Drosophila melanogaster: one gene and its partners. Changing the gene in region 3 together with the main gene of any one other region gives a genetic interaction. Each region holds a gene or a part of one and is shown on either strand. Other genes may lie near its edges. The genes, in order: Ubx, H, pb and Scr.

Evidence for each region.
Region 1: of pb (region 3) and Ubx, changing one suppresses a phenotype caused by changing the other (phenotypic suppression), as found in Drosophila melanogaster (one study listed by BioGRID).
Region 2: of pb (region 3) and H, changing one enhances a phenotype caused by changing the other (phenotypic enhancement), as found in Drosophila melanogaster (one study listed by BioGRID).
Region 4: of pb (region 3) and Scr, changing one suppresses a phenotype caused by changing the other (phenotypic suppression), as found in Drosophila melanogaster (3 studies listed by BioGRID).

What each region holds. Positions count from the first base shown.
Region 1 is NT_033777.3:16,729,383-16,735,929, reverse strand, and holds the start of Ubx (ultrabithorax), read left to right. Parts: upstream 1-1,503; 5' UTR 1,504-2,466; coding exon 2,467-3,232; intron 3,233-5,970; exon of another isoform or gene 5,971-6,547. UniProt on the Drosophila melanogaster protein: Sequence-specific transcription factor which is part of a developmental regulatory system that provides cells with specific positional identities on the anterior-posterior axis. Binds the consensus region 5'-TTAAT[GT][GA]-3'.
Region 2 is NT_033777.3:20,618,702-20,628,669, forward strand, and holds the start of H (hairless), read left to right. Parts: upstream 1-3,236; 5' UTR 3,237-3,794; coding exon 3,795-3,797; exon of another isoform or gene 3,798-3,882; coding exon 3,883-4,597; intron 4,598-4,669; coding exon 4,670-4,843; intron 4,844-5,429; coding exon 5,430-6,190; intron 6,191-6,340; coding exon 6,341-7,892; intron 7,893-8,058; coding exon 8,059-8,087; 3' UTR 8,088-9,968. Other genes in the region: CG5466 (uncharacterized protein), read left to right, coding at 1-927, 1,161-1,381, 1,461-1,654. UniProt on the Drosophila melanogaster protein: Is a potent antagonist of neurogenic gene activity during sensory organ development. The expression of distinct cell fates by the trichogen (shaft) / tormogen (socket) sister cell pair depends on the level of H activity.
Region 3 is NT_033777.3:6,737,865-6,744,464, reverse strand, and holds the start of pb (proboscipedia), read left to right. Parts: upstream 1-2,401; 5' UTR 2,402-3,297; intron 3,298-4,290; 5' UTR 4,291-4,365; coding exon 4,366-4,915; intron 4,916-6,600. Other genes in the region: zen2 (zerknullt-related), read left to right, coding at 391-450, 518-1,216. UniProt on the Drosophila melanogaster protein: Sequence-specific transcription factor which is part of a developmental regulatory system that provides cells with specific positional identities on the anterior-posterior axis. Controls development of mouthparts, and labial and maxillary palps.
Region 4 is NT_033777.3:6,845,885-6,852,833, reverse strand, and holds the start of Scr (Sex combs reduced), read left to right. Parts: upstream 1-2,852; 5' UTR 2,853-3,289; intron 3,290-4,328; exon of another isoform or gene 4,329-4,918; intron 4,919-6,949. UniProt on the Drosophila melanogaster protein: Sequence-specific transcription factor which is part of a developmental regulatory system that provides cells with specific positional identities on the anterior-posterior axis.

The DNA of each region.
Region 1 (6,547 bases), about 10 Mb from region 3:
CTGGATTCCCGACTCACGATATTTAGTTTGCAGTTGCGACTGCGATTTTTACTTTACTTTTGCTTTGCTCTGGGTCTTCTCGCCTTTTGGCTTCGCTTTTCCTTGGGCTTTTGGTCGCATATTTAGAAAATGTCGCCGCGTCTCCGAATGTGATTCAAGTGTTTGTCAGTGTGTGTGTGTGTGTGTGTATGTGGTGGTGCGTATCTGTGTTTTGTGCAAGTTTTTGTATCTTTCGCTTGTTGTTGATTTTTAAGACTTGGCACCGAAAATTTGGTCGGCGGAAAATGGCGCGAGCAGGGGTTGGAAAAGTAGAAAAGTAAATTTCTTCTTATAATAAGTTTATTTTGCAAACACTTGTGGCAAGCAACTTTGTTTGGTCGCCGTCGGTTTCTGGCTTAATCTACGAGCCGTTTGTGCGAATGTGGAAACTTTGACAAATATTTGCGAAACTTTCGCGAATGGCGCGGCGTTCTCGGTCTGCAAGACCCCGATCTATTTGCATTATGCATATGAATTTATTAGCATCAATTCCCACCATATTTACATTGACATTAATATCCCATTGAAAGTATTGGCGAACGGATTGAACATTTGGATTCGAATGCGAATTTGAATTTGAATAGGAAAAGGAAAACCGCAGCACACAAATTTTCCGGATCCCTGGCTTCTATTACCGTACAATGCCGAGTTGGGGTTGACTTATTATCAATAAACTAATGCTAAACACGAGACTTTTAATAAATAAAAAATAATGTCTTCATTAATATATTATAATTCGTTTTTAAAGGCCTAATAAAGCCTTTAAGTGATAAGTATCTTTTTATGCCATACCACATTGAATTAAGCTTATAGTTTTTGAGGTAAAGGTAAAAACGATTAATTTACTAATATTTTTCTAAATTGTGAAACAATTTATACGATATTTACTTCCATAGAAATTAAATTAATAATTACAATATTCCGACTATTCTAATAAATATATTTTTTAAAACAAAAACTTTTTTGCACTTCGTTGTGTGCAAATTATTCCCCAAAATATTGAACAATTAAATAATGACCAGCTTAAACTGAATAGAATTAGATACAAATAATTTGCGTAAGCCATATTCTAGCACAAAGATTGGGAACTGAAACTGTAGTCATAAGTGCGCTAAAACCGAGCAAATACGGGATGCGCATCGTTTGGCGTGCAACTGGCAACTGGCGGGCAGCCCGTCGAGCGTTTTTCGCCACTCAGTTGAAGGAAAATCAGCCCTCCTCCATGATGAATTTCCCGCGGCGAGCGCATTTTCCTTCCTCGCGAATGAATGAACGAGAGGCGCCCACCCCGATAAACTTAAACTGAACGAACACTCAAGAGAGAGCGCAAGAGCGCTCAAAAACAATCTGGTTTTGAGCGTTTCGCTGGCTCTCTGTTTCTGTTTTCCACTCGTTTTTAGGCCGAGTCGAGTGAGTTGAGTCGGCAGAGCAAAGTCAAAACACTGGCAACTGCGATTTGGTGCCACATTCGTTCGATGGCAACGGATTGGATAACAGGCGCGCGCTTTGTTTTATTATCCACATTATCAGCGGCATTATTGTTATTATTGGCCCTCAGCGCTTTACCGCTCGCCCACGCGTCCGCCCGTGAATGCCGCGCGGAAAAGTCGCTTTCCACTAGATTGGCGTCCAGATTCGAGGAAATCCGTCAGCAGACGCATTCGCGCCCGTTCGGTCAGCACTATGGCTAATAATCGTTCAAATCGTTAAAACCATAAAAATAATAATAATAATTGCAATAACAATAAACATAGTAATAATCGTAACGCTTACGAGCCTTTGATAGTGCCAAGGCAAGCGCAATCCAAGTATTCAAATTCGAATTCAATTAACAGCAAAGTGCAATTGGCTAAAAACCGAAACCAAAACGCAACAAAGTATACGAAACACTTGTGAAACCGTACAAACAATTGTGGAAAAAAATTTAAAGATTATTAAGATTGAAGTCTCAATAAACATTAGTGCTTAAATAAATTTAAAACGACCCGCGTGGAGAGTGCAATAAAAAGAATAACTTTTGAAATAAATATTTACCAAACAGAAAAATATTTTATAAATATTTAAATAAGTGAAAAACAAATTGGTTACTCTGAAACAAAGAAAATTCAAATTGGTGCTAAAACAAAGGAGAAAAAATTTCAAGAATATTTTACAAATAATAAGACATATTTAACTATATAAAACCAAACTTAATCAACAAAGACTTGGAGTGAAAATATAAAATAAATTTTAAAAAGAGTTTAACAAAATTTGTTTAAATCCAAAGGAGGCAAAGGAACAGCACAGAAAGCGAGGAAACACTCAAATAAAATCCGCCAAAAATCGCAGATCCCTGGAAACCAATTCGTGTGAAATCGGTCAAGCCCCCAACGACTTTTAGCCCGTCTCAGACGGAGCACCGCCAAGATTCTTACCGCCAGCAGCGCAATGAACTCGTACTTTGAACAGGCCTCCGGCTTTTATGGCCATCCGCACCAGGCCACCGGAATGGCAATGGGCAGCGGTGGCCACCACGACCAGACGGCCAGTGCAGCGGCGGCCGCGTACAGAGGATTCCCTCTCTCGCTGGGCATGAGTCCCTATGCCAACCACCATCTGCAGCGCACCACCCAGGACTCGCCCTACGATGCCAGCATCACGGCCGCCTGCAACAAGATATACGGCGATGGAGCCGGAGCCTACAAACAGGACTGCCTGAACATCAAGGCGGATGCGGTGAATGGCTACAAAGACATTTGGAACACGGGCGGCTCGAATGGCGGCGGGGGTGGCGGCGGAGGCGGTGGTGGCGGCGGAGCGGGCGGAACAGGTGGAGCCGGCAATGCCAATGGCGGTAATGCGGCCAATGCAAACGGACAGAACAATCCGGCGGGCGGTATGCCCGTTAGACCCTCCGCCTGCACCCCAGATTCCCGAGTGGGCGGCTATTTGGACACGTCGGGCGGCAGTCCCGTTAGCCATCGCGGCGGCAGTGCCGGCGGTAATGTGAGTGTCAGCGGCGGCAACGGCAACGCCGGAGGCGTACAGAGCGGCGTGGGCGTGGCCGGAGCGGGCACTGCCTGGAATGCCAATTGCACCATCTCGGGCGCCGCTGCCCAAACGGCGGCCGCCAGCAGTTTACACCAGGCCAGCAATCACACATTCTACCCCTGGATGGCTATCGCAGGTGAGTGTCCTGAAGATCCGACCAAAAGTGAGTGTCCACTGCAGCACAAGTCCACTGAAAGTCCCCCGAAATCCCATCCCTTCTGTCCTCATCCCTGCAGTGCCAAAGCTTTGTTGTTTTCCCAGTTGTTATCAAGCTCAACAGATTGCAGCTATGGCAACAAAAGTCATCCTGTGATTAATTGCCGTCTCTGCTCCAATTAACAGACAAGTCAACATGTAAGGCAATATAATGAAGAGCTCGAATCGATCATGGGAAAAACAGATAACAACTTGTAATGTAAGACATATGAAAGCAGGCAGAACAGACCTTTTTATGGCAGGTTCTTAGGGAAAAGACACAACACCTTATTGGCAATCAAAAACTTTAAGCGATTTAAAAAAAACAAAAACTAAGAATGTATTATGGTTATAGGAAGCCAAAAAACAGTCCTAGTTAATATTGTGTATATTCAAATTGGCTGAAAAGTTTAGAAAAAAAGATGTGATAATACTTGGTAAAAAAATTAAAAATTTTAATAAAAAATAGTAAAATTATATTCTTCAGAGGAAAAAAATTAGGACAAGTATTTTAGATTTATTAAGTGTTAAAAAGGCAAAAACCCCCTTGGCTAACTCAAAATTATTTTCCAATAATTCTATTTAAAGGCACCCATTTGCGTGGCCATAGTTTATTCGCTGGCCGCCAATTTCAGCGATTTAATCACTCTAAGCGAGATTTTATGGCTGTGATCTCGCTTAGAGTGATTAAATCGAGTGAAGAGCCATGAGTAGCTAAAATAAAAAAATAAAAAAAACCAGCTCAGACCCTTCGATTTCACCTGCTCCGCTCCGCGACACCTTGCAGCGCTACGTCTGCCTCATAATTTTCAACACTTTGTTTACTAATTTTTGTCACCTTTGCTTTTAATGATGCTCGGCGGTAATTGTTGCAGCGCTGGCAGCCCAAGTGAGCTGCAATTTGTGCAACAAGAGAGCGGCAACGAGCAGCGTGAGTTATGGCATGCGGCTTAAAAAGAGCTGCAAAATAGCAACGGAGAAGTCAAGAAATAGCAAAAGGCAGCAAAGGCAGCCACAGGAGTCGGCGAGAAAGGGCAAGAATCCTTTCAGGACACACACTGCGCGCAGAAGTCGCGCTTATTACGGTTAACTACGCCATTATGTAATTACGTTCAGCCCCTCACCGCTCGACTTTTCCACGGGTTTCAGTCACCAGCCGAGCGAGGCGAACGGCTTGCGTCTGGGCCGAGATTGCCGTTTGGGCCAAGAACAAAGCCAAGAGTAGGTCAGCCGAAGGAGGTCTAGGTGCTCGAAGATCGAACGTAAACTGCACTCAAGCTGGCACTAAAGAAATAGGGAAAATAGAGGGCTTACAAGTTATTATTTTCAAATTAAATAAATTGTTAACTTACAAATTATTACTTTTTTTTTAATTGTTCGAAAGACTCAAAAAATTATTTGTATTATCCGCTAATATTTTTTGTCTGTGTATAAAAGGGAGCTTGCAAAATACCCTTCAAAAATCAATCAAATTTCACTTATAGCCAACGCGAAGAGCTGGTTAAAAAACAATTAAAGTTGAACTAAATTCGAGAGCCTTGCGACAGGTTTTCCATCGGATCGATCCGTTCTGCAAGATGATCAGGGTAATGAAATTTATGCGCCGAGCCTGACCAGTCTGAAGTGTCGGTGATGAATTGGCCAGGCCAAGACCAAAGAAACACCATTGCCGAAAACCCTTCATACAGGGTGTCTTGTATAACACTTCCAGTGTGTCAGACAATCTCTGCGAGATATAACATCTTTAGTGGAACATTCCCTCTAAGAAATTCAAATGCATTCTTACCTGAAGATGATCGGACACGTTTACCTGAACATTTCATCTTAAATTTTTTTTCTTATAAGAAAACGAGACGATCTGGCAGTTACGATATTCAGACTGAATGAATTTTTCGAACTTGAGACCTGGAATTCAAAATATATAAATATATATGTATATGGCCTTATCTCTAATCCGCTAGATCCGCATTATTGCCATTTGTCACTGTTATCGCCGATTTGATTTACTCCAAAACATATAATGCGAATATAATTTAATTTTAAGCGACTTGCTCTGAGCGAACTGATTAAATCTGATGATCGCAACGGAAAATCAAGTCATAAATAAATCGGCGCACACTTCCAGCGATCATCGATCATTTGCCGCTGATCCGAGGCCCCAAATGCAAACCAAATTCAATTTTATCGTATCTAAACATGGCTTCACATTTGAAAAACCCACATCAGAGTTTTCTGGCCTTTGGAGTCGCAGTTGGCGTTGCTATGTTGTTCTTGGGCCGCTGTTTTGTTGTATGTGCGAACACGGCGAGCGGCGGGCGGAGGGCATTAAATCATTGTCCTGAAGGCTTTTAAGTCATTATCGATAAATTTCAACATAAATTCGTAAATTTGCTTTATTTGCCCGGGCCGGTGTGTGAGGTTCACGTCGGCGAAGTGGTTTATGGCCGAGTTCTGCGGCTGTCCGAAATTTGTCGGTCGCCTAATTTCGAACGTGGCACAGGAAGAAAATTATAGGGAAAAATTACAGGGAAAATCATTTCAGCTGTATTTAACAAATTCAACAAATATATTTAATTTATTAAAAAACATGTGCAATGTGTGATTTTGGCGAAGCAAAGCCAAATATTTTGAACTTACATATCACTTATGAACTTAAACATCATTCATAGTCTCTCTTTTGAATAGAAAAAATTAAATCCATACATTGTGTAATAAAGTCGCATGCTAATTTATTAATGTGATTTTATGAAGAATTCAATACTGATTCAAGTTTTTCCCAGTGTAAGCACAGTTCGAACTCATAAATAGATTTTGTTGCGGCTTGTTACTTTTTTTTGTCCCACAATGACCTTGAGAATAGCTGGGCGGATGGTCAATTGACACGTTTCGGTGCAATCATAATTCATATTTGCCGCAGTTACCGAGGAAAGAACTCTCACGCTGTGACGTAATTATCAGGATGCCTGGTATTCCAGCATATACACTTACACAACTACCTGCAATTGTATGGAACACGTAGGGCCGAGGAGGGCACGTCATATCCATGCAAGGTTAATGGGCTGTGGGCTGCAGGAGACACACCAAAATTGTGCAGTTCAAATGTCGGGCAACAGTTGCCGTTGCAACATGCAATTAATTGCCAGGGGAAGTGCGTCGATGATGCCGCTGATTATGTAAATGGCGAAGTGCAAGCGAACGCACACAGGAAAACCTTTCAACGCGCGCTTTTAATCATTTTTTTCGCGGAGCGCAGAATGCAAAATTCAGCAAGATCAGAAACAAA
Region 2 (9,968 bases), about 14 Mb from region 3:
TAGTGTCGATGCCACGGTGAGGGCAGTCATTGAGTCGTACACCATCGGTCGGGATCAGTTCGGCATGGAGAAAGAGTTCATCATCGAGGTGGTGCAGTCCTGCCCAAGTCCCGCATGTCGCTACTATAAAAACCACATGGGAATTTCGCCCATGCCGTTCATGGAGCAGCAGTATCCGGGCGTAAACACTCCCGAGTTCCTGCAGCGCTTGGCGCATCTGCCGCCTGGGGGAGCAGCCGGATCTGGGCCAGGAGGCTCCGCAGCCGGATCCACCTCCAGCGTGGCAAGCAGCTCGAGTTCGGCGAACGTGGAAATCGATCTGTCCAAGTCGACGGGCGCGAAGGTGCCCCAGGTGCCGGTGCCGCCGCAGTTGCAGCACCTGACCAAGCAGCAGCAGAGCACTCTCCAGACGCAGCTCTCCCAGATCAGTGCTGCCGCCGCTCATCATCAACAACAACAACAGCAGCAACAACAGCAACAGCAGCAGCAGCAGCAACAACAACAGCAAGCAGCAGCCAAGCACCAGCAGCAATTGACTGCTGCCCTCATCCAACAGCAAAACCGTGTCCTCGCCCAGCAAAATTTAGAGAAGCTTAGCAACCACCTCAGTCCGCTGGAAAAGCAGCGAGTTTTCGCCCAGCTGGATCCAAAGCACTTTGATCCCATGGCCGTTGCGGCTGCAGCCGCCAATCTTCAAATCCAAGGCCTGATGCAATCGCAGGCAGTGGCTGCCGCCGTCGCCGCCAATCAGCAGACTCCGGCGGCTACGACTACATCTGCTGCAGGAGGAGCTGCAGCCGGCCCGCAGGCCCATCACGGACACCATCCCTTGCCACCGCCATCGCAGTCGCCACACTCATCCTCTTCGTCTTCCTCTCATTCCTCGTTGGACCAGATTACCCACAAGAACGTCGCCGACTCCTTGCGGTGGGTGAGATTTATTAGATATTATTATTTTAAATTCTTTTTCTTGGCAAAACATGTGTACAAAGACTTATTTTTTTATTAAAACAAACAAAAAATATTGTATGTATTTGATAAGTAACGAATTAGGTTGTTTACAATATTATTTATTATTTGCTATATGTAAAGTAAATTGATCACTTTTAAATGTTTGCTTTAGGCCCTTAATTGAATTCATTTAACTTTTCCGATTTCAGTTCCAATCTGGACTCAATAGAATCGAATAAGGATCTGCTGGCGCTGCACAACGGAGCCTGGGCCACCGGCGATGCCAATCGAATGGATCACTTGGCCGTGGGTCAGGACAAGATAGTGCGCATCTTTGCGGAGCTGATGCGAAACATGTCGCGGATGAAAACCTACATACGTCCCTCGATGTGCAAGCCCTACGGCAAGCAGAGTGAGAGTCTGCAGAAAAGTGAGTACCTTGGCTGGGAACCGGTTTCGCTATCTGCGATGCTGACCGCCTCCTGCTTGCTCGTTCTCTTCCCCGACAGCCCTCATGGACACCATTCAGATCGTGCAGACGCTGCGCAACTGCCTCCCAGCTCCTCACATACCCGTGTCGTCCTGGAAAAGTGAGAGCGAGGGCAACGTGGGATCAGGAGTGAGCGCGGGAGTAGGAGTGGGTGTCCCTGCAGGACTTAACCTGGGCGCCGCCTTGGGTCTGCCATCGGGCAACATGCACTAGATGCGGGCTGGAGCTCATCGGGTAGCATGCAATAGCTCCGGATTTATCCACTCACATTCTTCCAGCAGTTAGAGAACACTTAGTACTTACACGCAGAGAAAAGCATAGATGATAGGCATAGCAATTTACCCTCGTAGGCGTGGCTCCAGTTTTCCTTTTAGCAATTACGTGCCATGTTCAACACAAGACTTGATTTCACATTTTCCACATTTGACTGACCTTTAGGCATACATATGTATCGAATCCCGCGGCTTGAATTTGATTCCCATCACTCTTTGTTTTCCAGTTTGGCATGCAAAATTATGAAGCAAATCGGCAAATTAGTTAAACAATTGGCAAAACGTCTGTGATATTTGAATTATGTTGGCAAACGGAAGACAAAACTAAATTTAATTTATTACGTTGTGTGCCCTCTGTTGTAATGTCTTACTTTTTACTTTGTGCAATATCTACTAAGCATATATTCTTAGCCGTTCTCGTGCAATCGACGACTTTTCGCCCATATCAAAAGCAACTCGAATGTAGCCTATACTTAAACTAACCTACTGATAATCGGACATGATAGACGCGTAAGACTTACATTATATTTTGCATTAGGACTTCAGAGTATCTGAATAACAATTGGCGGATGGCCGCGGTGGCGAAAGCGACATTACGAGTTGTGTTTAAATTTAAGAAGCTGAAGAAGGGTTGTACTCCGCATGCAAGGGCTATTTAAATATATATTTTAACCCGCCCGAGCTCACCATTACCAGAAATTCGATAAACGAGCAAACAGTATTATACGCAATAAAAAGACACCTGCAACCATAAGTATTTACCTAGCTGATGTGTGGGAATTTATCGTAACATACCATATTATCGCTTAATGTTTAACTTCTGGACTTAATAATAAATAAATATTTTATTCTACGACAAAGAAGAACTTTTCAATGTAACATTATTAACTGCTTTAAGTCATATCCTTAAACTTTCGCCTTGAAAATCTTTAAAACCCTACAGGTATTCCAAATTAATAATCTCAGGTGCTAGAAATTTAATTAATATATTTTGGAAACAGCATAAATTAGTGAAAATACAACATTGTTTTAATCAAACATTTTTAAAAGCATGTTTTCGGTTGCAAAGTTTTCCAATTTCAATCCTGAAATTAAAGTTGAGTTGAACAATTGCTATAAAAAGCGACCATTTATTACGTTTTATAAACTGTCCCGATTGTGATTTTAGTTGTTTATTTTATTTCATATTTAAAACCGTTACTATTTTAAAAATCGTTCGCTAAAGATTGTGCTTTTAAGCATTGATAACTATCGCTAATTGCCAGAATTCGTAATCTTATTTGACTTGAATTGTAAAAATATAGGATTTAGGATTTTTACCAAATAGATGTAGTTCAAAGAACACAATTCTTTTTATTATTAAGCATTTTATTTTGGGAGTTCCTTGCACTAGCTTTTTGCAGCGACCTGTGTGTAAGCTTACATTGAGATAACATTAATGTGAACGTGCAGCGAATGCAGCACTATAACATTGGCCAGTGGAAACATGATATTTGCTAGCATGCTGACTGGCGCCGTGGATTTTGACGTTCTTAGTTGACGGTCACACAGCGCACCGAGCTGCGTTTTTCGTTGATAATTTTTAAATTTATTTATTAGTTTATTGGTTGGAAATAGAGCTGCCCCCAACTGCCCGCTGACCACGGAATTATCGGTCCGGTCCACCGACCTCCGCTTTCACACACTATTCGGCAATCGATATATACGCTGACGGTAATTGGAGAACGTTTTTTCCATTTTATCTCCACCTTGTCCGCACTTCGTTTTGTGCTCTCTTTGTGCGCTGCCTCCGCTTAACATTTGGGCCTGTAAGAAACACATATAAGCAGAACGGCCCGCCGTGTGTGCCTGTGAAATTGGTTAAATAACGTACAGTGGAATGGGCCAATGGCCAAAATGCAATAAGAATATGTGTGTGCAATAAAAATAGGGAACGGTACCGTGCCCCAAAACATGAAAATGGTGCTAGACGCTCCTAACGCCGTGCCGAGCTGGCATATTTTGCTTAGCGACGCCGTCGGCTCCGTTTTTCCCGGCCGCGAACTTTGCGCGAGGAATTTACAACAAAAACAATGAATTAAATGGTATTTAAATTGTCCATATAATGCGGTTTGGAAATGCGAAATTGTGCCTAACTTGCCCAATGCAAACGAATGTTTCTCTTTGAAGGCCCTGCTTAATGACGTCACAAGCGTAGCAGAGTGCAACAGACAGACAACAATGACCGATGAGCATAAAAGTAACATTAACAGTAACAGCAGTCACTCCAGCAACAACAACAACAACGGCAGCAGCAGCAATAACGACAACAACAGCAACGACGACGCAGCAAGTAGCAGCAACAGCAAAAACAACAACACCAGCAACGAGAGCAGCCACAGCAACAACAATACTAGTAGCATAATTGCAGAGGCGGCCGCCAAGTTTCTACTGAAAAATGGCCTAAACGGCAGTAGCAGCACCAGCTACCCCCCTCTGCCACCGCCTCTGCCCGCCAACTTAAGCAGGACGACCACGCCCACGACAACGACAACGCCCTCATCCTCCAGCTCCACCGCCTCAAATGGCTTTTTGCCGCATGCCAAGACGCCCAAAAGTAGTAGCATTATGGCTGCGTCCGCCGCAGTGGCAGCCAGCGTCGTTGGAGCTACTGCGTCCAAGCCCACCATCGATGTCCTGGGGGGCGTCCTGGACTACAGTTCCTTGGGCGGAGCTGCAACAGGCTCACTGCCCACCACTGCAGTAGTAGCGGCGGCAGCGGGAACAGCGAAGATCGGCAAGGGAAGCAACTCCGGCGGAAGCTTTGATATGGGCAGGACACCAATATCGACGCACGGCAACAACAGCTGGGGCGGCTACGGTGGTCGTTTGCAGTTCTTTAAAGGTAAGTATCTTGGTTTATTTATACCGAATCAGAGCAGTGTAAAGAAAACCATTTTTTAACTATTCTGCGTAGATGGCAAATTCATATTGGAACTGGCGCGGTCCAAGGATGGCGATAAAAGCGGCTGGGTTTCGGTCACGCGCAAGACCTTCCGCCCTCCATCGGCGGCCACCTCCGCAACTGTGACCCCAACGTCGGCGGTGACCACAGCGTATCCAAAGAACGAGAATTCCACATCGCTGAGCTGTACGTAACACATGGCATAGTAGTTCCCAACGGATTACCCCTTCCATTTAATTACTTGACCCGATTGGAATCAGATTTGAGTAAAAGGAATTGGATTTTGAAACATGTGTAGATAGCTAGCTTAATCCGAGCGGTCAAAGCTTACAAACACTTGCAGTTATAAAAAACATGTGCCTATTTGACTTAAATTGTTCTAATGGCACGTAGAGGATAAAGTCCAATTTCGAAAACAAAAAATCTGTAAAAAACGACCGCACCTATGTTCAAATCTCTGATCTATTTTAAAACTGTATATATCGGCCATCTCTAATATTATATTTAAAATCTACGAAAATGTCAAACGTTTTAATGAAATAGTAAGAAAAAACCAAACTGTTCAGAATCGGTCATGTTCTTTGTATGACAGTTTTCCAATTCGATCCTATAAAATATAATGTCCTCCCATCCTTGTATACATTTAAATCCTATTTCATAAATTGTTAACAATCTGAATCAAACAAAAGCAAATATTTATTTATGCCAAACTATAATTAACTACTACAATTTGTCTATGTATACCTTGCGTTAATATTCCTCTTCATTGCAGTTTCGGACGACAACAGCTCGATACAATCCTCTCCTTGGCAGCGAGACCAGCCCTGGAAACAGTCCCGACCCAGGCGCGGCATATCTAAGGAGCTGTCGCTCTTCTTCCACCGCCCCAGGAACAGTACGCTTGGCCGAGCTGCTCTCCGGACAGCCGCTCGCAAACGACGGCGCCCCCACGAGCCGCTTACCACCAGCGAGGATCAGCAGCCCATTTTTGCGACGGCAATCAAGGCGGAAAATGGAGACGATACTCTTAAAGCAGAAGCTGCAGAGGCCGTTGAAATTGAAAATGTTGCTGTGGCGGACACAACCACAAATGAGATTAAAATTGAAAAACCGGACACGATCAAAGGCGAGGATGATGCTGAACGGCTCGAAAAGGAGCCGAAGAAGGCGGTTAGCGATGATAGCGAGTCAAAAGAAGCATCGCCCGGTCAGCAAGTGGAACCACAACCAAAAGATGAGACTGTTGATGTTGAGATGAAGATGAATACGAGCGAGGATGAGGAACCCATGACAGAGCTGCCCAGAATCACGAATGCCGTAAATGGTGATCTAAACGGCGATCTAAAGGCGAGCATTGGGAAACCAAAATCCAAGCCGAAGCCAAAAGCCAAGCTCAGCAGCATCATTCAGAAACTCATCGATAGCGTACCAGCACGGCTTGAGCAAATGTCGAAGACATCAGCTGTGATCGCATCGACAACGACGTCTTCAGATCGCATTGGTGGCGGTCTAAGTCACGCCTTGACGCACAAAGTAAGTTTTACTTGGCACAACCTGCATAAGCTGCGGTTTCAAATGTTAATCATGTACTGCAACATTTTTATTATGTTAAAGTTGTAAATCTAGTTAGGGACTTTCATAAAGAAAAAACTTTGAATTGACCACTTAAATATCTTCTTTTAGGTTTCTCCACCCTCTTCTGCGACAGCAGCCGGACGACTAGTCGAGTACCACACCCAGCACGTGTCGCCCAGGAAAAGAATCCTGCGCGAGTTCGAAAAGGTGTCGCTAGAGGACAACGGATGCGTAAACAACGGCAGCGGTGGAGCTAGTAGCGGTGGTGCTGGAGGAAAACGGAGTCGAGCAAAGGGAACTTCGACATCGTCTCCGGCTGGCAAGGCGTCACCAATGAACTTGGCGCCACCCCAAGGAAAGCCAAGCCCCAGTCCCGGCTCCAGCTCATCCAGCACTTCGCCAGCGACCTTGTCAACGCAGCCAACGCGGCTCAACAGCTCTTACAGTATCCACTCCCTGCTAGGTGGGAGCAGTGGCAGCGGTAGCTCATCCTTCTCCTCCTCTGGCAAGAAGTGCGGCGATCACCCGGCAGCTATTATCAGCAATGTGCACCATCCACAGCACTCAATGTACCAACCCAGTTCCTCGAGCTATCCACGCGCCCTGCTCACCTCGCCAAAGTCGCCCGATGTGAGTGGCAGCAATGGCGGGGGCGGAAAATCGCCCTCGCATACAGGAACCAAGAAGCGTTCGCCACCGTACTCGGCGGGATCACCCGTAGACTATGGCCACTCCTTCTACAGGGATCCCTATGCGGGAGCAGGTCGTCCTTCCACATCGGGCTCAGCATCGCAGGACCTGTCGCCACCGCGCTCTTCCCCAGCATCGCCAGCCACGACGCCGCGTACTGTGCCCAAAAAGACTGCATCGATCCGACGCGAGTTCGCTTCACCGTCGGCCAGCAGCAGTAGCTGTCCCTCGCCCGGCGACCGGAGTGCATCGCCCCCGGAACGGCGGCACATGCAGCAGCAGCCGCACCTACAGCGTAGCTCGCCGCTGCACTACTATATGTACCCGCCACCGCCCCAGGTGAACGGGAACGGCTCGGCCGGAAGTCCGACCTCGGCGCCGCCCACGTCGAACAGCAGTGCAGCTGCAGTAGCGGCGGCAGCAGCGGCCGCAGCCGCATACATTCCCTCGCCTTCGATATACAACCCGTACATATCCACACTGGCGGCGTTGAGGCACAATCCGCTGTGGATGCACCACTATCAGACAGGAGCGTCGCCCCTGCTGTCGCCACATCCACAACCCGGTGGCTCAGCGGCCGCCGCTGCTGCAGCTGCTGCTGCGAGATTATCGCCCCAATCGGCCTATCACGCGTTCGCGTATAACGGAGTGGGAGCGGCTGTTGCCGCTGCAGCAGCTGCGGCAGCCTTTGGACAACCGGCGCCCAGTCCCCACACGCATCCGCACTTGGCCCATCCGCACCAGCATCCGCACCCGGCTGCACTGACCACCCACCACTCTCCCGCTCACCTGGCCACGCCAAAACTGACTGATAGTAGTACCGACCAAATGTCTGCAACGTCCAGTCATCGCACAGCCTCCACTTCGCCGAGCAGCTCGAGCGCATCGGCCTCCTCCTCGGCGGCCACTTCGGGCGCCAGCTCCTCCGCAATGTTTCATACTAGTAGTCTAAGGAATGAACAAAGTTCAGGTAAGCATTCAATCAGTGCACCAATAATGGCAAGCAGTTTGATGATTCAATTTTCATTCCTCTGGGAATGTCTGAAGAAAATATATTACAGATCCATTTATTATGTTGTCAATTTAATGCACGTAAAACACAATTTAATAACGTTTCTTATTTATTTCTTCCTTAGACTTACCACTGAATCTGTCAAAGCACTGAGACATACACACGCCCCAGCTGCCCCAGTTTCTGGGCCAACCATTCGAGTTAAGAACATTTTCGCACTAGTAGCGCTTAAGACGACATTCAATACACGTAATATAATTTGATAAGTTCGCTGATAGTTTAGTTGTAACCCGATTGTTTAATCCTAAGCCTAATCCTAGGTTCTCAATTAGGGCCGAACATTTAGAAATCGCATACAAAAAGAGATGAAAAACTCAACTTTGTTTTTAAACCCGTTCCAGAACTCTTTATACAATCAGTTGAGAAATTTTATTTTCGACAAACTGAATAAAATATGCAAAGGAATTTTATTCTATGCCGACTAATGGAAAGAAATACTAATAAAAACATTTTCTATAGGATGTATAAAATGCAAGTCTTAAAGAATCTCAAAAAAGAGTTACGTTTTTTTCATCAAAACATTTCCTTGAAACAGACTGAACCTGAATTTTTTTAGAAAAAAAAAATGAAAAACTTAGTTACGAATCGCAAAATATAACATTTTAAAGTATATTTAACAAAACTACAAGAACAGATTTTTATAAAATGCTTGTGCCTTTAAAAATGGAAACAGAACTAGGGATACAAAAATTAATATTAAAAAGAAAAAGAAGTTTACTATAAAAACATTTATGTGCAAGCATGTGCAGGTATTCTATGGTGAAAACTTTAGAATTTCTTGATATCGTGGTCCAAAATGCAGTTGACAGGAATTTGCACTAAGCAGATTGTATACGACACCAACTTTTTAAGTACTTTTAAAAATGTATCTTTTAATTATTTCGGAATAATTATTCTAAAATAGTTAAAAGATAAAAGCAATCCAAAACTATACAACTCGTCTGTACTTCAAAACGAAAGAGATTACTCTTTGGTCTTACATTTTTTGGTAGACTGTAAAAACTAAAATTCGAAAAAATTGTTGAAGTTTGAATTTAAATCCTCGGCGGATCTAAATTTAACCTCCACGATTGTTGTCACCATCAAAAATATTATATAACTGTGCCTAGTGCACATTCGCTGTCAGTGGCTGTCCAATCAAAAACAAATAAAATGTACAAAAAATCCACATATACGACAAATTTACAAGAAACGGAAAGCAAAAAGATCCTAAGCAGACAATTTCAAACCGGAACTCGTACAACTGAAACTGATACAAATAAAAAACATATTCCTAACGCAAAAAGACAAAAACAAAACGCGGTTTCTCATATTTTCTAAATTATTTATATAAATCAAATGTCTATTTATATTTACTGATATGATAATGTGTAAGTAAATAGGTGTAATTGTAAATACAGTATTTTTACACAACAAAAAGTTAATCAATACGCGAGAAATAACCAATATATTTAATATAACTATTTTTATAACGGATTTTAACAAGTAACTGTATATTTTGTATCTGATTACGCAGAATAAAAAACAAAACGAATTCCATATGAGGTCAAGAACAGTTTGCACAAGGCGGCCTGAAACTTGCTTAAAACTTAATGCACTGAACAAAATCCGAACTAAACACATCTGTTCCAGGCAGATACAAAATATTTTCCAATGGAAAAATGGAGTAGATTCATTTATTTTTTACTAATCAATACATAAATCTTTCAGTTCGAAATTTTTAAGCAAGTTGCAGTCGGCTAAACTTTTTAGTAGGCTTTAATGAAAATTAAAAAGAAATATAAATACAATTTTCATACAAATTCCATATGGTTTCTACTACCTACTGATTAGTTAGTTAGATAGGCGTCTAGGGACTATTAATTTACATTTGTAACGGTACTGTGTACGACGTTTTTGTTTAACTGAACGGTAGTGTTTTTAATTTGAAATTCGATGTTTTTAGTGAGTGGCTATTGTTGAACGAACACATGT
Region 3 (6,600 bases):
ATCTTAAAATATATTACATTTGATTTTTTGCAAGTATTTATTTGACGAACTAAATAATATCATATAAATAAAACAAATAGATCCAGACGTAACATTAATATCCCCTGAATAATATTTCTCCGTGTGACGCTACTTAGAAGTACGTCGGTTTCTCTGGAGCCTGGAACTCACCTTGATTCGGAGCCAGGCTCAAAAGGACGCGACATCTACCAGCCCAGACCAGCCGTCTGGGAATTTGAAAGTGTCGCAGGCGGGACAGGTAGGAACCAATCCGATCCGTCACGAAGGGCTTCTGGGGTATATAAGCAAATAAGGAGAATCTAAAGGTATCTAGTTAAAAAACATCGGCCACAGCGGTCAGAAGCCAACAAATCGCGCTCTTCAAGAAAAATGTTTGCCATTCAAAGCGAAAACTATTTTGTGGACAATTACTCAGTCAGTGATTTAATGGTGGGATTTAAAAAATTACTGCTTATTTAAATAAAAACTAAGATTTAATTGATCTATATATTTATAGATGTATCCTTGCGTCGAGTTAAACGTAGAAGCCGCTCCCACGGCAACAACAAGGTCTTCGGAGAAATCAAAGAGATCTCGCACGGCATTCAGCAGTCTTCAGCTAATCGAACTAGAAAGGGAGTTCCATCTCAACAAATATTTAGCCCGAACCAGGCGAATCGAGATATCACAGCGTTTGGCACTCACAGAGAGACAGGTTAAGATCTGGTTCCAAAATCGTCGCATGAAACTCAAGAAGTCGACCAATAGGAAGGGTGCCATTGGAGCGCTGACCACATCTATTCCACTTTCTTCCCAGTCGAGCGAAGATCTTCAAAAGGACGACCAGATCGTAGAGCGTCTCCTTCGATATGCCAACACAAATGTGGAAACAGCTCCACTCCGGCAGGTTGATCACGGTGTCCTGGAGGAGGGTCAAATTACACCACCCTATCAGAGCTACGATTACCTCCATGAATTTTCTCCTGAGCCCATGGCTCTTCCCCAACTGCCCTTCAATGAATTCGATGCTAACTGGGCGAGTTCATGGCTGGGCCTTGAGCCAACGATTCCTATCGCAGAAAATGTAATTGAACACAATACACAGGATCAGCCAATGATACAGAATTTCTGCTGGGACTCGAATAGCTCTTCTGCTTCATCGTCGGATATTTTGGATGTTGACTATGACTTTATTCAAAATTTGTTGAACTTTTAAATATATCTTTGACTATATGTTTAGGCAACTGTACATACATACATATATAATCATTGTATTATACGAGCAATATCTTTCTGTGACTACATTATTATTACTTATTTTGGATGAAATAAAATATGTTTTATAATTAATGTGCGCATTTATTTGTTCAAACAAAAAATGCTGGTTGTGCAGCATTTGGGGATACATTTTGCGGACTCGATTTTCAAAAATTTCACCACCAGACAAATCAAATATTTTTAGACAAAATTCCATTTTAGTGGGCGATACAGTTGAGAAACTAAATAAGCTTGACTTGTTAAAACATTTATTTATATGATATTTATAATGAATGGCCTTGGCTTTTTATTTTACTTAATGCTTCCTCAAAGTTTCTGTATTTTTCACACATATATCTTTTTCACAATTTTAAACAATCTCATGGTGCGCATCGTCATTACGTAGACTGCCGATCACATAGCTCCCTGCTGTCAGACAACTTGTTCGTCAGAGCGTCCAAGTACGAACACCACCCCCAGCTGCAGTGCAAAATCGTGGCAATATTTTTACACCTGTAGTGACACCCGTGTGCATTAAAATCCGCACATAATTACAAACTCTGCGCGGACTGGATTGGAGAACGTTAGCAAAAAGAGGGCGAAAAAGCGGCCAAAAGGCAAAAAGCAATGCCACCAAGATTGACAGGAGAAGAGGCGCCCAAAACAAAAAGAGCGATGAGCGAAGCAAAATGTCAAAAATACCCATAGCCGAAAGCCAAAAAAGCCGGAGAGCGAGAAACTCGCTACTGTGGCTTTTTCTTTTCATTTTTTAGCAGATGCGAAATGTGTAAATAAGAAAAACCAAATAAATTCCGTCACAAGCAACACGTTCGCGTTGGAAGTGGAAAAAAGTGAATGAGGCAAGAAAACGCCGCGGAAATGATGGCCCAAGATACAGGGGTTCCCGAGCTACACGACCGCAAAGATACAAAACAAACTGCCGAGCCGGCCAATCAGAGGGCCGGAGACTTGTGCGCCGGTGTGTGTGAACTCCACCCCCTGGTCTCTGCGCGTAATGGCTATAGTAACCAGTTTCCAGATGGCACCGCGCATGTGCCGACCAGGAAAAAGCGTGATGGATGCGGTGGCTGTCGCTTAGGCCACTCCTTGATACTGGGTCCCAAAATCCCAGTTCAGTGCGTTCGGTGCTATTGGATGGAATGGTTGTTGGCTGCTATCTAGCTCTCGGGAACCGCACGAAGCTCCCCAAAAGCCCTCTGTCTCGCTCTCGCTACGAATCGGTTCGGTATCTAAAAAATAATATTTATTAAAATGACAGCTACAAAAATAGTTCAAAAATTTTGAAAACTAAAAAGTGATATTATTAAAACGAGTTGAAACCAAAAGTTTTACTATACGGTTGAGAAGCACTTTAGGAACCCCTGGAAACCCGGTTCTGCGCACCTCTTGAAGGCCAGAGAGGGACAGCTAGTGCCCACATGTGTATGAGTGCGAGTGGAGAAAACTATCTCAGACGAATTGCAACGACTGAGTGTGTGTCTGTGTGTGGCCATTGCAGCGATCGCAGCGACTCTACAAAACTCTACAAAATCAACACATTCCGCATACGCACCGTTGTACAGCGCGTACTTGCACTATTGTCGTTATCGCCGTTGTTTCGTCGGTTGTGTTGGCCTTTCGCGTCGCCATGGCTGCCAAAAGGTGTGTGTCTATGTCAACCTGAAAGCGAAAAACCAACTCCAAACACCACTTGACGGTTGAGCAAACACAACGGTGGCCATATTTACATTCGGATCTGGGTTCCCTCGCTCTCGTCGCGGTTGTCGCCTCTTTTCGCGGCCCACAGATAAGCCCTGACACACTGAAGTTTTACGCAAAACCCGCATCGCAAAAGTTGTGCCGGTTGAAACTAAAAAAAAAAAACAAACAAAAAGTTAAGCCAGTTACTATGAGCGAGTGCAGACAATAGTGAAAACGGTGACCCAAGTGATACCGGTGAAATTTCCACAAAGAACGCATATGTCAACGTAAGAGGAGAAATATGGAATACTGTGGTCTGTAAATGATCAACTTAATATGGTACGAAATTATCTTACACATATTTCTTACCTACATTTAAAAATAAGTGTATCCTTTTAAAGCACGAGAAAATCAAAGCGTGTCGTTATTTCGTTTTTGATACAACATGTTAGTCTAAAATACGAGCCTTTTAAGTCGGCAAAATGTTTACTGCAAGAAATATTTCAAATCTTTAATTGGCGGAATCGGAAAATATATTCGAATTTTCTTATTCATTTATACTTCCTAGGAAATTAGCTATGCGGCATTTCTTAGATGAGGATATGTAACAGCTTTATAACTTTTTCTGTTTAAAATATGTTAATTTATTTACTGACTATTAATCCTTAAAAAAATAATGTAAAATAATGTATGCGAACCAAGCCAATTTAGGTAACATTGTAGGACAGGTTGTATGTATTGTACATACATACAATACATATTGTCAAATCTCAATCGAAATTAGGTGGCCATAAATTTAAAGTGAAGGCCTAACAATTTCTATAAGAGCAATAGTAAAAATGCAGACTACAAATGAATTTCTGGCACAGAAAACTGAGAGACTAATGAAATATAAATTGGAATATGTAATTTAAAAATAGTCAAGTTTTTGACAGTTGCAATGTGAAAAATTGGATCGGTAATAATAAAATAAACATTGATTAGCATAGTAAAGTGACGATGTTTTTGTTTCTTAAAATGTTAATGAAGATAATGACATATCTTAATGAAGTATATACGTACATTATATTGAAATTATATATATTCAAAATATATAAATAAAAATTCAAAAATTATAAATATAATAATAAAATAAACATTGAATAGCATAGTAAAGTGACGATGTCTTTGTTTCTTAAAAGGTTAATGAAGATAATGATAACATATCTTAATGAAGTATATACATACATTATTCAATTTCACATTCGATAAGAACAGTGAAACCTCTAACTTCCTGGGAACTGAATCGTGATAACATTATTATGAGATTACAAAAATGGCTTTCCTTTCCAGGTTCCCAAGCTGAGGAACATCTAATACGCTCAGGAATTGAAATAGAAAGAATCTAAAAAAAATTATACCCAAGCTATGCAAGAAGTCTGCAGCTCCTTGGACACGACCTCAATGGGCACCCAAATCAAATCGGAATCTCCACTCAACCCGCTGCAGGTGCAAACTGGACAGACGTCCCTGCCAGTGGGTGGTTGCGGTGGTGCGGGCGTCGTGGGTGGTGTGGGTGGCGTGGGAGTGAGTGTTGGTCAGCCTGGTATCGGACAGCAGGGGGTGCCACCTGTGCCGTCGGTGCTCATGGTCAACAAGATGACCCCGAACTGTGATAAACGGAGCGCGGACACGGCCTATTGGATGACAGCATCCGAGGGCGGGTTCATCAATTCGCAGCCGTCGATGGCTGAATTCCTCAACCACTTGAGTCCGGAGAGTCCCAAAATCGGAACACCTGTTGGATCCGGCGCCATTGGCGGAGTAGGCGTCAACGTTAATGTCAATGTCGGCGTCGGAGTCGGATATCCGGTTGGCGTTGTCCCTCAAACGCCGGATGGAATGGACTCGGTGCCGGAGTATCCCTGGATGAAGGAGAAGAAGACATCCCGCAAGAGCAGCAACAACAACAATCAGGGTAAGTCCACATGCACATTACACTGGGGGAAGCATAAGGTTTTTAATTTAGCGATCGACCATGTCAATTTGAACACCATTCTCTGAAGAATAGGCGATAATCTCATCAGTCCATCTCAAACTATTGAATCAATCAAATAAAAAGTAAGATATTTTTATAGACACTTTTCCATATCAGTTTAGACCGGAATCAATTGGGTTCTCTTGTCCCGGCCATTTTTTCTTGCCGTGTACTGGCTGGTGAAATGCGAAACTCTCATTAATCACGAGCTCACAGAAACCTAAAGACTCCAATAGCGCCAATTATGCCACTACGAAGTCCCTCTGGCACCTGGTTTCGAAGTGATGAAGAAAGAGCCAGTGCTTTCGCTGACCATTTACAAAATGTATTCCGACCAAATCCCTCTACCAACACATTTATTCTCCCTCCTTTAATAGCAGCCAATCTAGATCCTCAAGAACCCTTTGAATTCCGACCATGTGAACTAGCAAAGGTTATCAAAGAGCAACTGAACCCAAGAAAATCGCCTGGCTACGACCTAATAACTCCAAGAATGCTCATTGAACTCCCAAAGTGTGCTATTCTTCACATCTGCCTGTTGTTCAACGCAATCGCCAAGCTTGGATACTTCCCTCAAAAATGGAAAAAGTCGACCATAGTAATGATTCCAAAGCCAGGAAAAGATAAAACGCAGCCATCATCATATAGACCGATAAGCTTACTAACATGTCTTTCAAAGCTGTTTGAAAAAATGCTACTCCTTCGGATTAGCCCTCATCTTAGAATAAACAACACACTTCCAACACATCAATTTGGCTTTAGAGAAAAACATGGAACCATCGAACAGGTCAACCGAATCACGTCAGAAATTCGTACTGCTTTTGAACATCGAGAATACTGCACAGCCATTTTTCTAGACGTCGCGCAGGCATTTGACAGAGTGTGGCTCGATGGACTTTTGTTTAAAATAATCAAGCTGTTGCCCCAAAACACACATAAGCTACTGAAGTCATACCTATATAACAGAGTGTTTGCAATAAGATGCGATACAAGCACTTCACGCGATTGCGCAATCGAAGCTGGAGTGCCGCAAGGCAGTGTACTGGGTCCAATCTTATACACCCTGTATACGGCGGATTTCCCCATAGACTACAATCTAACAACCTCCACGTTCGCTGATGATACCGCGATACTCAGTCGCTCGAAATGCCCAATAAAAGCCACGGCACTCCTATCCCGACACTTAACATCTGTAGAACGATGGCTTGCCGACTGGAGAATTTCAATAAATGTTCAAAAATGCAAGCAGGTTACCTTTACCTTAAACAAACAAACATGCCCACCACTGGTCTTGAATAACATATGCATTCCACAAGCCGACGAGGTAACATATCTGGGAGTTCATCTGGACAGGCGGCTCACTTGGCGCAAACATATAGAAGCCAAATCGAAACATCTTAAACTTAAAGCAAGGAACCTCCACTGGCTCATAAATGCTCGCTCTCCACTTAGTCTGGAGTTCAAAGCTCTTCTATACAACTCCGTCTTAAAACCTATCTGGACTTATGGCTCCGAGCTGTGGGGCAACGCATCCAGAAGTAACATAGACATTATTCAGCGAGCACAGTCAAGAATTCTGAGAATTATCACTGGAGCGCCGTGGTACCTTCGGAACGAAAACATAC
Region 4 (6,949 bases), 110 kb from region 3:
ATACAGTCTTGCAAAAGCCCAAACACTTGAAACACTTTAACAAAGTTGAAGTTAATAGTTTTAAATACACTTGACATATGAATGAATCAGGTGGTAAATATTTATATATATTGTAGTTCCATTTAAAGCTAATTAAAGTAAAATGGCACGCATAAAATAAAAGCTACATAACACATTTTAAAATATGCCCGTAAAGATCACATAGTCATAACTCGTGCCTTACTGCTCCTTTCGTGTACACCAGTGCCTCCTGCCCTGGTTCATCGCTTAAGCTCAGCTGTTGTCTCCTCCTAATGACCTCCAAGGCCCTTCTCCGCAGAACCGCTTACCCAGTCTCAAGACCAAGAAGTCCTCCCCCACCCCTGACCAACTTGGCCAGCCATCTTGTTCAACTAAGTAGCTCGCCTGACAGCTGAGCAACGTTTGTCATAATCAAATGTGAATGGACTGACACTGACACAGGGGCTCTACGGACTGAGGACTGAAAACTGAAAACTGGTAGCTGCCAAAAAGCAGAGAGAGGAAATTAATTTAAATTGGCCTTTAATGTAAATGCATCTCTCAATGCATCGCCAACTGCAGTTGGTTCTGTAGGAGTTTGCTCCGCTCCAGATACAGCTTATATCCCGACTAACACCGACTTGTGTTTGCCCCCAAATTGGGGGTATTTATCAACTACTCGTAGACATGGACTACCCATCCTACAACCAATTTCAAGAACCCCCATTTCCATTACGGATGCGTGAAGAACTCAAATGGCAAGGTATTAACGAATTGTCGTGAGTTTGGTTCGGGGAGGGGTATTCATTTTTCTTGGATCGTTTAATTGGAAACTGTTGCTGTTGCAGTTTCGTTGATGCACTGAGACAAAATCATACTAACATTAATTTTAACCTCTCTTGCTATTCAAATATAAAGCCCCAAATAGTAATAAAATTCAGTAATTGTGTATGGAAAAGAAAAAAAAATTTGTTTAAATAAACAGTTTAATGTTTGGAAAAGTAAATTTAAAATTAGTTATAAATATGTTACATTGTATTATAAAAGTTACCATAAGTGCGTTACATAAGTTACAAAGTTTTTCTTTGTGTTTTTTCTATGTCCAGATTTAATTCAAAAATTCCAACTTCGCGTTACGCGCTGTTTTCTTTAACTAAAAACAAAATACAAACGCTGCTGATTGTTTCATATTAAAAATTGAGCGTGTGTGTGCGAGGGGCAACATTTACAATCGGAGGCAACATGCAAGCGATGATGAAAAATCGCCTGCAACATGTTGGATGCTGCTGGGGACCCTCCATGGATCTAGAATGGAATGGGATCCGAGAGGATGCTATGCTATGCTATGGATTGGGATACGAGAGTCTGGCGCTGGCTGCCCGCTGGCATCGCCAACATCAACTCCAATTACAGAAGTACACGCAGGCGTCTCTCTTATGATTTTTTTTTTTTAGTTTTTCATTTATTTTCCATCATTTGTTTTTTTCTATACTTTTATATGGTTTGTGGATGATGCGGGCCAACCATAAAGAGCTGACATGTGTGTTTCAAAAACACAGCGGAAAACATATGGCAAAAAATACGACTTCTATAAGAAGAACAAATCGAATTGGTACATAAACTTAAGCTATAAATTCCGAAATACGTACTTACAAAATTTATTTATATTTTAATAAACATATTTTCGAAAGAATTGCTGATTTCGCGTTTCGGGTTTCGAAAGTAACCGTTCAGTACCACTTAAAAAAACACTTTTATTACAAGTTCGTATCAAATAAACGTATTAAGTTTATACGTTTTTAAATAAGATAATTTTTAAGACACTCACTATAAATACTTATTAAAACAAACTTTTGCTTTTGCAATATATTACGAATGACCTATGCCATTTATCTGTATTTGGTATATGTTTGTGGTTTCGCAACATAAACGTTAGATTCCAAAAATAAAAATAAAAAAAATAATCTCATTCAAAATCGATTTTGGGTGTGTCTTAACCAGCAACTCATTTTTATGATAAAAAATAGCTAATCAACATTTAAATCTCCGAGACAAACTAATCAATTGAATTCAAATTCAAATGACGCCAAAATCAAACCATATGTGTGTTCAGCTCTGAATGCGATGCTGGATTGTTGGTAGCAAATATGAAATCGACTTTTAATTAAGGCATTTAGCCAAACAAATCAAAATCGTTAAGCCCCGATGCTGAATGAATCATGAGAACTTGAACTTGGCTACGGCCCAAAGAGAACCCGATCCGCAGCCCCGAAACAGACCGATAAATTTAAATTCAGAGACAACTGCCAACGAGCTCGTTTTAAAGGAGGAATAACTTAAGCTTCAGCAGGAGACTTTGCATTTTGCCAGGCCAATAAAAATGGAAATGAACGCGGAGCGGAACGTTTATAAAATAATAATGCGAAATAATAATGTGGCGGTGATTTAGCGGAACAGTGCCACGATTGAATACAAATAAAGTGGGGGAGACGCCTAATCTAGGATGATTTCGGCCTAATCTGGAGCGTGAACCGGGGGCAGATGTGTCCTGGAGTGGCTGCCAACTACCTGTTTTTTCTCGCTTTTCTCGTATTTCTCGCTTTTCTCGAGAGCGCGCTTTTCCCCAAATCGAGGGAAAAGCTGGAGCGCCATAGGCCGGTTGCCGTGGCACCCTCGTCGCATAAATCAAGACTGGGGGCGGAGTCTGCCGTGGGTGCAAGTGGGACAGCAGGATTTTCGAAAATGCGCACTGTCCGTCCTCTCTCTCGCACTCGTTGGCCGGGTCCTCAAATGATTTACAGTGTTCGAAACGCACACAAGGCAACGCACGAGAGGGTCGTTTTGTCGGTTTTTATGGCTCAAACGTGAATTGAACGTGGCGCACTTCAGTCGCCAAGCAGCGCGCTCGGTCTTCTGCAAACATAAAAAGATACAGATACACGTTCTCGTATTCGTACGCGTAGCAATCCGCGAAGTTTCCGCTTGAAAGCCAGTCTTGCGATTCCATGGAAAGCTCTTTGGCGACGGCAAGGTGCCATGGTCTCCCCATAGCGGATACTTTACCGACTAACTCCTTTACATAGGAGCGGAATTACCTACCCACCTCAAATAATTTCTCAAACTGCTCATCTTCGCAAATAACTAAGATAGCAAAGTGCAGTGCAAAAGGCAAATACAATTAATACGAAAATAAAAAGTATACAGTGAAGTGCTGGCTAAGAAAACTAATTGAATTACAACGACTTGTTCGTAGCGTCTGATTGGATTTCCCCAAATCGTCCACATAAAGGTAAGAAAATAACAAACGTAGAAAAACTAAACTCTGAATGTAAGAAGAAAATTTAAGAAAGTTTTGCCCTTAAAGGTTTAAATGAAACCATCGATATATCGTTAAATGGTTCCTTTTAACCTTTCTAAACTTTTCCACTCAAATCATTCTGAATTAAAACTGCACTGTGGTGTGGAGGATTGAATATTTTAGAGTCAATTTAACAAACAATAAATATTGTAGAATACAAAAAAGGTGTCAATTGTAAAAAATCAATATAATATATATATATATATTTTTTATAAATATATATTATTTTAGCAAGTTCAGAAATCCAATTACTTTACTTCTTTGCAATACCTCCAAATGTTATATAAACTAACTGCACACTTAACTAAAAAAAAATATATGAACAACATTAAAAATATATATTAAATCTTCAGAGACAGATTTTACTTCTCCAAACTCCCAAAATGAGTCCCAGAGTCTTGATTTTATCCCAACTAGCCCAAAGTACGGAGTTCGAATGTTTATGATTTGGTCCCCCGAAATCGATCTCACACGGACAGTGTCGGTGAGAACAATAAGACTTTAGTCGCAGTTCGAAACATGATTTTCGAACTACCGAGTAACGATCTCTCTCAATAAGAACTTGTTCGAAACACGCGAGAGCGGTGCTTTTCGAACTACCGCTCTTTCGAACTCACACACACACACACCGATGTGTCGTATTCGTATCCGTGAGATACAATTTGTGGGAACGAATTTCTGGTTTGGCGGTTGATTCGAAACGTTCTTCGCGTCCGCAAAGGTAGTTTCAGCACATGCCTGAGAGCGAGCGAGATGGCGGAGCGGCGCAATGCCCGTTGTCTCTCTCGCACACTTTTCGAATAATGAACACTGCACTTGGACGACGATATGTAGCTGTATAGCCATATAGCCTTACTTGCTCGTACTCGCAGATACAATTGGACGGGGGAAATGGAGCAGTATGAGTGAGCCAGAGCGCTGGCGTATCTGTGTTTTTTATTGATGCTCAGAAATTTGAATTATGCCCGAGCAGTCAAAGTGAGACATTGGCGCTTCGAGCACGTATCCGCGGATACACCGGAATAACAGAAAAAAAAGCACAAATAAAAAAACTCAAACAATCCAACACTCAGCTGTTCCGCGTGTAAAGACCCTCGAATACTGTTCGATTTTAGCGAAAGATGGATGGACTGCAAAGTGCTTGCATCGATGCTGGCGCTGATGGACAGTCATAAATTCGGCGTGAAATTCGCGCAGATACTTAGATACTCCGTCATAGCGCATATACTTATCGTGATCTGTAACAAATTGCGCGTGTGCTTGTGTGTTTGTGATACCAAAAGCCGTCCAAATCCGTCGCTTAGCCCTTTGCGGCCAATTACCCATTAGAACCATCCAAAACATAAGCCTGCAGGTAGGACGCAAAAGTCTAGCCAGTTTGCCCTCAGGATGCCATCGGATTAATTTCCCAGATATCCGGCTGGTTGTGACAATTCTACCTTCGTAATTGTGCACGTTGATTTCCGCACTCAGCACAAGTGAAAATCGTGGTTCAGTGCAGTGAAAATCAGAAAACAAACTCACTTGAACGGAGGTGAACGCCGTCGGCTAACTAAAATTGTGAGTAAACGAGTTTAACGGCTGAAAATATTTTAAGCGCTTTGGAACAGGTGAAAACAGTCATGGAAAGGATATTTATTCGTTGTCAGTTTTTGTTTTGTATTTTCTAGTGTTTTTTTTTTTGATGTGTTAAGAACTTATGTAGCAATATTTGGTCTAAAGCAATTTAATTATAGTTTTTTCTTAACAATTTGATGCGATTTTATTTATCAAATAATATTTACAATAAAAAAGTGCTTTGTTCGTATGTACATATTTTTTTAAGTAACAATATTTCTACCACCTTAAATTTTATTTTTAATCTTACAATCTTTATCTTGTACTTTGACTTTCTTATTGAAGAAATAATACCAACACTAGTAAGTTAAAAAAAAATAAGAAATTTTTAATTTCTTTAATAAATCAATTTAATATTCTTTGAAGAAATCATCAAAGGTGCGTAATAATTTCCCCTGTTTGCTTCTTAAGACACTCCATATCAAATAATATAATTTGAAAAAATCAATGAAATATATTTTGATACCTAGTAACCGAACCCAGAAAATACATTTTATATATTTCCCTATATCGGGGCTTTGTTTCTGTATTCTGTTTAAGCAATTTTTCATAAGGTTGCGTGTGCGGTATCAACGCAAGGAATTTTCACTTCATTAAAGCGAAATGCAGCCGCTTTTGAAATAATTAAGAGGCACAAAGGCGAAATGTCACAGCGAATGAAAAATGCCTAACAAGCGCCGCATATAGAAGGTTAATCCAGACACATAGCGTTATATACCGAGCCCAAGCTGGGATAGGGATGAAGAAATGCCCACGATATAGGCTTGGCTACTATCCGGGGAACTCGAACTCATGCTGGCCAAGACGCCATGGGGCGAACATGAAATTATGTAAAATAAAAGAAGACGCACTGGGCTGGAACTTCATGGGACTTTGCCAATGACCGAGTAAAGGCGATGCTCCTGGGCAGTATTCTACATCCCGGCATGGCATCCCACATGTGCTCTAGTCGTAAGTGGATGAAATTCCACTTGATGTAGGTCACTTTCATTCGCCCATCTCGCCAAGGGTGGGCCAAGATCAAAGAGCTGGAGAGCTGGCTGCATCGATTGCATAATATGGGCACAACACTGAGACAGTTGCAGGCCCAGTAACAATTCCACTCCGAATTGCAGTCTATACGGCTAATTGGAGGGTAGGGGCCAGTCCAAAGTTCTACGAGTGTCTTCAGCAGCGCTGTAATTTATTTGGCCTGCGCCTGGCGGAGACATTCATCATGGCCTAACCCCGGCTCTTCCTGACGCCCCCCTCAAATATTTCAACAATACTCGTTCATATTTATAAATCAAAATCGCAAGCACGCAAGCTGAAAATTTGTGCTAGAGTCGTTGATCTATTGGCCGCAAAAATGGCAGGCCGTTCTAACAGGAATAGAAAAGTCTACAATAAAAGCTAGAGTAGCAAAACGAAAAGATACAAGACCGAAAGACAAAATAATACAAAAGAGGTTGGAACAGCATATATTGAATGCCATTTGTTTAGAATTAAAAGAAATTTATTGAACCATGAATGCTGCGAGCATATACAACTAATACTTGTCTTAAAAACCCGCCCCTCTACCTAAATTTATCCTAATAGTTGTCCGACAAAACTGCTCTCCAAAAATATGACTACAAATTAAGTTGGCCAAGGATTACCCATAAACAGTGGCAAGACCAGGATACATTACACAATTGAGATGTCCTTGACCAGAAACAGGACTACTTAAAATGATAATTCCGACTCGACCATTGCGCAAAAGATCATAAATTATCGCAGTGGAGAGGAGAGGAGATGACAAGCTGAACCACAAATGGCCGCTTGCAGCGAGGATCGGAATCGATGATTGGTTTTCAGTTGGGAAAACAATTGGAGAACTCATAAAAATTATGAGAGCCATGACAAACAAACAAACAAACCACAAACAGCAACTGTGACGAGGGTTGCCACGGCAGAAGAAGATGCATGTTTGGGGAGTGAGAAAAAAGACACAAA